Macaca fascicularis: one gene and its partner. The main gene of each other region encodes a partner of the protein of the gene in region 2 in a complex. Links are inferred from orthologs where the notes say so. Each region holds a gene or a part of one and is shown on either strand. Other genes may lie near its edges. The genes, in order: PTN and ITGAM.

What was found.
Region 1: the proteins of ITGAM (region 2) and PTN are in contact, whole or in part, in an NMR structure (PDB 8VOH), measured with the Homo sapiens proteins. The link is inferred for Macaca fascicularis from reciprocal best matches to the Homo sapiens genes ITGAM and PTN. Residues at the interface, in NP_000623.2 of Homo sapiens: Pro273, Asp276, Arg277, Gly279, Val280, Ile281, Arg282, Tyr283, Lys306, Pro307, Arg309, Asp310, His311, Ala334, Ile335, Glu336, Gly337, Thr338, Gln339; in NP_001308315.1 of Homo sapiens: Val56, Pro57, Thr58, Ser59, Asp61, Cys62, Gly63, Leu64, Thr66, Glu68, Thr79, Lys81, Thr82, Gln83, Arg84.

Annotation. Positions count from the first base shown.
Region 1 is NC_088377.1:179,008,001-179,012,281, forward strand, and holds the start of PTN (pleiotrophin), read right to left. Parts: upstream 3,081-4,281; 5' UTR 2,827-3,080; intron 1-2,826.
Region 2 is NC_088394.1:29,463,229-29,467,592, reverse strand, and holds the start of ITGAM (integrin alpha-M), read right to left. Parts: upstream 2,837-4,364; 5' UTR 2,747-2,836; coding exon 2,719-2,746; intron 1,050-2,718; coding exon 944-1,049; intron 1-943.

The DNA of each region.
Region 1 (4,281 bases), on a different chromosome or scaffold from region 2:
GCAAGCCTAGCTCATAAAAAAAAGGTTCATATCTGAGTATCATTTTACCTCCCCTCCCACAGCAGTGATATGACCTTGTGCCAGAAGGAGACAAAATCTCTTCGATTATTCATTTAGAAAAGAAGCCAGAGGAAAAAACATTCCTCACCCTTGTGAAGAAGCCCAACTCAACATCACTAGCAAAGCCATGGAACAAAGGCCATTGGAGGGCTCCCACTCAGCCTCATGCTCCAGAGAAAAGCACATCTCAAACTGGGCCGAGTTGCACTCAGGTGTGGAGGACGTTTGCACTCATCACATTGGGTGGTTTCAGTCTGGACACCTCCTTCCGGAAAGAAGTCAGGAACAACTCCCCATATCATTATGCTGCCATATTAAAAGGCATAATCGTTTAGAGAACTGGAATTTTTATTCCAAATTTAGACTTCAGGCCTTCAATCTATTGTTAATTTATCACACCATTTTCAACGAGCCAGGTAAACTCAGTTTTGTGGGAAAGTTTTGAATAGTAATTAAAAACACCACATCACAATGGGAAGATGATCAGAATTCATGTGAGAATGTCATATAAGTGAGAAAGCAAGAATATCTTCAAAGGAAAAATAAAATATTTGAAGTTAAAATATTTGATATCTAAGATTGATTTTATTTTAAAAAAATGATTCAACTATCTGGGGATCTTATTTCTCTCTGTTGTTTTCAACAACTAGGTTTTATGAAATTTTAAACCAGGCCATTGATTTGACTGAAATTTTAAAAACAATGAAAATGCAGATCTTGTTATGTGTTGCTATAAGTGAAGCCAAAATAAGGCACATGGAAAATATCAATAAATTAATAAGTTTATTATTCCAAATCTCATGATCTCATGGAAAGAGGTCTAAAAAACAGAGAATTATATATAATACATTAGACTATAAGTACAGTTAGGTATACCTTATTACTCTAATTCTCTACAATATCTCATTTAAAGTCAGATAATTAAAAAGTCATATATTTAATAGGGCTTTTATTTATCTCAAGCTCTAGCTTTGAGAACATAATGCATTTGCATCCAGAAGCAAACAGCTGGAACACAGCACCTAATGCTGTTATATGTGGCTTCAGGTGGGAGTTCCTTATAGTGACTTTTCACTAAATGCAGAAAAAGATGTCCTAAAGGGAACCAGTGAGCAGTGGCAGAGAAAAGATCACCTTCTATGTATTTAAAGTCCAATTAGAGAACTTAAGGCCCAAGTTTCTTAAAGCACAAAAGAATGGTATTAGAGTTGTTCTTTTTTTAAATAATACAATTTTTTAAAATCTCACCTTCTAATTTAAATGAAAGAGTACAAATATTGCCAGTCTGAAATAACTCATGTCCCAAAGGAAGCAAAGAAATTCAAATTTCCTCTGAATTTAACTGGACTATATTTTTTAAATGACTTGGCCTTTAAAGTGCATAATTTACTTAAAAGGAAACATAACGAAGATGGAAAACACAGCTTTATTTTCTGCACTGGGAGACTTCTGTTTTGTTTCATTGTCATTACCTTTTAATATTCCTATATATCAACGCATTCCCAGATAATTAAGGGGCTAACATGGGCCCTGCTGTTTCATCAATTCCACATTTGCCTACGATCATAAAATTGCTTCATTATGTTATTAGTTCAAAAGTTCTTTTTGGTAATTCCTGAATCTCCTCCCGTACCCCTCTCTCCAGCACACACACACACACACACGCACATGCACACATCACCCCTTTCTCAGGCTGCTAAAGCAAAATGCCTGGTGACTCTTAACATGAGAAATGTTCAAGGACTGGAGCTTTAATGTTCTCTCCTCTTAGGACCCCTATCCCTCCTATTTTCTGAATGTGTCCCCAAACTTACAAAGCAGCTCTTAATAGACACAAGGGTGAGTTAACACTAGAGTGTATATAAATTGCATGTATGTGTTCCTGTGTGTGTGTGTTGTGTTATGTCATGGAGAAAGGGGTGTGTGTGTGTATGGAGAGGAGAGAGAAGGCTTCACTTTACATCTATTAAGTAAGAAAGGAGTTGAATATATTCCTCTCAAAAAATATTTTCTTAACTTATTAGAAACAACAACTCAGAAACTCTAAAAATCTAGTAAATTAGTAACAAATATATCCTAAATTTATGTGGGTCAAATTAAAAGTTTAATGGGTCTATGTACAGGGCAGTTCTTTAAATTTGCATTCAAACGAGAGACGGGACTCCAGATGTGTCTTCTAAACTTCGGTTCTAACCATTTCTGGAACCATTCCTGGGCTGTCAGGTGGGAAGACGGGTGCCACTAGTGCTGTGAGAGAGGTTCCATGTCAGCGAGCACTGGGAGGAACAAACCCGCAGCGCTTACCTAGAAATGCCAGCTAAGAGTCATGGGCTGGCGGGCCCTGGGGCAATCAGAGAATCAGAGAGAGGTTGGGAAAATGAGAGCTGCTTGTTCAGGCTGCCGTACTTTCTCTCCAACTACTCAGCCAGAGACACACCTACTAAAGCTCCAGGTTTTACGAAAAGCAAAGATGCACTCTCCAGCCCACCGCTGGAACACGGTCCAAATGCACGCTTAACATCACAAAAACTTCTTTCCTTTCACTTACCTAAGCACACCCTAACTAACCTAACCTGAAACCCCCAAAATACGCCTCCCTTGGCCTCTGGAGCAAGTCAGTTTTGAAAGCAGTCCTATCAGCAAAGACACCGGGCAGCCTCTCTCACTCCTACCACCATCATGTGTTGGTACCCGGAAAAGTGGCACAAGGTGAAGGCAAACTCGATCGAAGAGCCCTCCGAGAAATCGCACATTCCTCTCACTTACTTTGAGTTGCAAATGTCCCCTCTGGCGCTCAGTCTGCCTTTGTTGCAAGGGGCGAGGTTGCTACGGCTGAGTCCAGGTACCCGGCTCGCTGCAGCTCCTGCTTGGTCTGCTGCTGCTCTCCCCGCCTTCTGGACGGATCACTGGTCTCTTTCTTCCCCTCTCTCCACTTTGGATTTTCCTCTGCTCTGGGGCTCTCTTGGCGGGATTTTTGGACTGGAAGGCGGGGAACCTGATCCTGCCTTTGACTCAATTACGCCCTGACAGGGAGGGAACGGAAGGGAAATGGAGAATGGGAGGGATGAGAGGAGCGGGCCAGGAGGACGCAGGCTGGGCGAGGGAGGGAGAGCGTTTTGCACTCGAGAGCTGATTGGGAAGCTTATTAAAAGCAGAATACTCCAGGGGCAGTCTCTCCCCGCGGAGCAAGAAAGAAAACGGATTTGAACCAAGAGGCCATGAGATGGTACCTTGTTTTGTTTCTAGCAGAGACCAAACACAACATTTCTTTTCCAAACTCCACCCATGATCTATTCTTCAGATGAGTGCAAAGCCACTTTGCCAAATAGAATATTTTAAATGGACAATTGATGGCATTTTAGGTTACAGTTTTGGCCCCCCACAATCCTTTAATGATATTCAGGATGAAAAAGCACTCTCTTCGAACCAGCCTCTTCTTCCACCCACGAAAGCCCTCCCTATACACAGAGGCAGTTACCCAGCTGTCAGTCACATCTCACCTGCAAAGCACAAAATGTACAAAGTACTTTTTCTCAATTGTCACAGAGTGACAGACGTCTGAAAGTTCCCAATTAAGTGCTACTTACCTTTAGGGAGAGCTCTTTCCTTTTTTGGTTTCCTTGGCACATTTAGCAACCTATTCAGTAACATGCCTTTGACACCCAAGAATTTAGAGGATTCGTCAATGTAGCTCAAACTCTGAGGTTTGTAAAACTTGGAGGCTGGACTTTGCATCTCTCTGGAATTTTCATTTCATTCAATTGAGGAAAGATGCTAAGGCAATGCATAGGTAAATATTTATGATATAGATGAGATAAAAGTATTGTGTAAAAGGATTAAGACGTATTACACAAATTCACCCAAACATTTTAAAAATGTAAATTTTGAGATTTTCTGCCACTTATCAGCTTTTCCTGCTCCTTGGTTAGTTCCTTTTACCCACTTTTACTGCTCAGCTTATCATTTGATGGCGTCCATCCCAAATTGCTTGTAAAAGAGACTCGCATTTTTCATAGTTCTGAGGTTACATCCATTCATTTCAATTTGACAAATATTTATTAAGCAACGTATTTACTTAGAACTATCCTTAAACCCCCAAACTAGAAGCATTGTCTTGTGGCAAGTAGTTTTTAGAGACTTGGGGCTCTTATATTGACTGCTACCTGTAGAAATGTCCCTTGGAGAAGTTAGCTGGAACCAAAGAGGTGGCTCTACAAACTC
Region 2 (4,364 bases):
GCACAGTGGTTTACGCCTATCATCCCAGCAAGTTGGGAGGCCCAAGCAAGAGGATGACTTGAGGCCAGGAGTTTGAGACCAGATTGGGCAAGAGTGAGACCTCGTCTATACAAAAAAATCAAAAAATTAGCTAGGTGTGGTGGCACATGCCTGTAGTCCCAGCTACTCGGGAGGGTAAGGTGGGAGGATTGCTTGAGCCCAGGAGTTTGAGTCTACAGTGAGCTATGATTGCACCAGTGCACTCCAGGCTGAGTGACAGAGCAAGACCATGTCAGAAAGGGAAGAAATAAAGAAACGGAAGGAAGGAAGGAAGGAAGGAAGGAAGGAAGGAAGGAAGGAAGGAAGGAAGGAAGGAAGGAAGGAAGGAAGGAAGGAAGGAAGGAAGGAAAGGAGGGAGGGAGGGAAGGGAGAGAAGGGCAAGAGGGAAGGGAGGGAAGGAGGGAAAGAGGGAAGCAGGGAATGAGAGAGGGCGGGAGGAAGATAGGAAGGAAGGGAGGGAGGGAGGCGGGGGGTGCAATAAACAGTAAGTGACAAGTGAACGGGGTTGTTTTCAATAAAATTTATTCACAAAAATAGGCAGCAGCCTGCAGGCAGGCCTTAATTGCAGTACAATGTGTGCTACACATGGTGTGTTGGCTGAGGGAGGGACGTGTATGTGTTATGTACACACAGAGTCTCCCCAAAGCAACACACAAGAAACCATTCGTCAGGTCCCTCCTGGGAAGGGAACTGGGGGAAGGGAGTGAGGAAGAGAGTTTTACTCTTATACCCTTTTGCATCTTTTGAATTTAGAACACTGTAAATTCAAAAGATAAATTTATTGTATCTTTTGAATTGATTTATCTATTCAAAAATATCACTCAATGAAATCGCTGATTTTTTTCAGGTATGTAAGTCTTGGAGAGAAAGCACTGAGAAAGGGGGCTCCATCTGAGGGTCTCACCTGGATCCCTGAAGCTGGACCACGCTCTGCCCGAAGCCCTTTGCGTTCTCTTGGAAGGTCATTACGTTTTCAGTGTCCAGGTTGAACCCATGACATAAGGTCAAGGCTAAAGGGAGAATGGGGGACGAGTGAAACAGAGGAAAGTAGCATGCCAGCCAGGGGCAGGGGCACACGTCTGTAGTCCTAGCACTTTAGAAGGCTGAGGCAGGAGGATCACTTGAGCCCAGGAAGTTGAGGCTGCAGTGAGCCCTGATTGTGCCACTGCACTCCAGCCTGGGCAACAGAGAGATACCCTATCTCAAAATAAAACACATACACACACACACACACAAAATGATAATAATAATAATTTAAAAGAAAGCAATGGCTGGCCGTGGTGGCTCACGCTTGTTATCCCAATAATTTAAGAGGCTGATGTGGAAGCATCACCTGGGCTCAGGAGTTTAACACCAGCCTAGGCAATACAGTGAGACCCCCATCTCTACAAAAACTAAAAAATTAGCCAGGTGTAGTGGTACGTGCGTGTAGTCCCAGCTACTTAGGAGGCTGAGGTGGGAGGATTGCTTGAACCCAGGAGGTCAAGGCTGCAGTGAACCATGATCATGCCACTGCACTCCAGCCTGGGCAACAGAGCAAAACCCTGTATCAAAAAAAAAAAAAAAAAAAAGAGATAGCAGCATATCTTCCTGCTCCATTCCCCTTCCCGTCCATTCGGTCACCCTAACTAACCCAGCATCCAGATGTCTGCCTCCCAGGTACAGCTCTGATAGCCTGGGGCAGGGATTAGCACACTTTTTCTATAACAGCCAGATAGTAAATTTTAGGTTTTGCAGGCCAAGAGGCTGATAGAATATGTTGCACAAGTACTCATACAACAAGACAGAAAATACTTGTCCACAAATTTGTCATTAGGGAAATTCCAAACGTAATGATTAAGTACAATTTGTTCGTAATACAGGTTTATGAATGGGACAAATAGAATTCTTTGGGGGTGGTGCTCCCTATGATCAAATCGATTGTCAGTGTTCATCTTCAACCTCTGGCTGGCAGGTTGTGCAAAAACAGGTGGTGGGCCATATCGGGCCCCCAGGCCACTGTTCGCTGACTCCTGACCTAAGAACCATCATCATGGGGTACGTCCAGTCCCGCTCTGAATTCCAGCCTCCCTTCTGAGCACCCAAATGGTCTCTTCCCCCAGTGTCACCACAATGATGATTTGCCCAACAGTGAAGTTTCTATGCATTCTCAATTAGATAATTTCCTTCCTATGCAGCTCTCAAGCATTTCCTTCCCTTTTGTGGAGAATTTCATTTTCCACAACATACAAGCATAAAAGGAAACAAACTCAAATCGTTTTGATTCATCAGTCATTCAACAAACATTTGCACCCGGGTCCTTGGAAAACGGAACCGGAGGCAAAGTGGAGATGGTGAGAGGGGATCCAGGAGGAAGTACTCAGGAAGGGGGTCTCACACTTGCTGTGCACCCTGGGCCATGTCACTTCTCCTCTCTGGGCCTCCGTCTCCTCATCTGTGAAGCAAGGACCAACCAAGCAGCCTTGCACAGTCCATGAATGTGGTCATTCATCCAGGCTTCCCTGGCCAGCCTGTCTGGGTCTAGCTGTTCTCCCTGCTTCTTCTTGAACCCTTTCTCCTTCCCCAATCCCCTTTGCCTCTCCCCAGACTGAATCCTACATACTCTGGGCCCTCTCTTTATGACAGACCCAAAAGTTCCCCTCCTCCTCACCCAGAGTCCCCCACCCCACCCCCATGCACCTGTTAACAGAAGGACTCTGAGAGCCATGGCTGGAAGGAGCCAGAACCTGGAAGGAGGTGAACCGGGGGTTGCAGGCGCCACTGAGGAACCCCAAGGAAGCTGCCAAAGCAAGGAAGGGCAGAAAAGGAGAAGTAGGAGGCAGAAGTCTATCAGAGATTCAAAGGAAGAGGGCGGAGGCTCAGTGACCACACAGCCCTGCCTGGTCTTCCTCCCAATCCTCCCAGCACTGCCCACAGCCTGCCCACCCTTCCTCCCCAGCTTCCTGGCTCAAACCATCAAAGTCACTACCACTATCCAAAAGGTGCCATTTGTCACATACTCGTTTCTTGGGTTGGCCAAAGCATATGAACAAGCTGAACAGACTTAGCCTGACTCCTGGAATTCATGTTCTAAACATTAATACGGGCCAGGCGCAGTGGCTCATGCCTGTTAATGCCAGCACTTTGGGAGGCCAAGGCAAGAGGATTGCTTGAGCCTGGGAGTTTGAAACCAGCCTGGGCAACACAGAGAGACCCTGTCTCTACAAAAAAATATTTTTAATTAGCTGGGCACAGTGGTGCGCACCTGTATCCTCTGCTACTCGAGAGGCTGAGGCGGGAGAATTACTTGAGCCTGAGGTCCAGGCTGCAGTGAGCTATGATCACACCACTGCACTCCAGCCTGGGCAACAGAGCGAGACCCCGTCTCTACCAAAAAAATACATTTAAAAAATTAGCCAGGCATGGTGGCACATGCCTGTAGTCCTAGCTACTCAGGAGGCTCAGGCAGGAGGATTGTTTGAGCCCAGGAGTTTGAGACTGCAGTGAGCCCCAATAATGCCACTGCACTCCAGCCCAGGTGGCACAGTGAGACCCTGTCTCAAAATAAATAAATAAATAAGCAAACATTAATACCGATCAAACAAGTGTAGGAGGTCAAACTCTGTGTCTTCCTGGAAACACACTTTGCAAAATGTCTCTCGTTCAGCCCATGGAAATGGGAGCGCCCTTCAGCCAGAGCAGTCCTCATTTGTAGCCATACAAGGACAACTCAAGTACAGGCACACCTTGTGCTTTTTAAGTATTATTTTGTGCTTTTTTCAGAGACAGAGTGTAGCTCTGCTGCCCAGGCTGGAGTGCAGTGGTATAATCACAGCTCACTGCAGCTTCAATTAACCTCCTGGGCTCAAGTGATCCTCCTACCTCAGCCTTCTGAGTAGCTGGAACTACAGGCACATGCCATGGCCAGCTAATTTTTTTTTTTAATTTTTTGTAGAGACAAGATCTTGCTATGTTGTTCAGGCTGTTCTCAACCTCCTGGACTCAAGTGATTCTCCTTCCTCAGCCTCTCAAAGTGCTGAGATTACAGGTGTGAGCCACTGCATCCAGCTTATTTTGTGTGTGTGTGTGTGTGTTTTGTTTTGTTTTTTTTTTAAAGGCCTCAAGCTCTTCACCCAAGAATTTTCACTACTAGTAATTTATCCTAAGAAATAGTTAAGAAGTATAGTCAAAAGTATATGTACAAGCTTGGCTGGGCTCGGTGGCTCATGCCTGTAATCCTAGCATTTTGGGAGGCCAAGGCGGGTGGATTACTTGAGGTCAGCAATTGAAACCAGCCTGCCCAACGTGGTGAAACCTCATCTCTACTAAAAGGACAAAAGAATTAG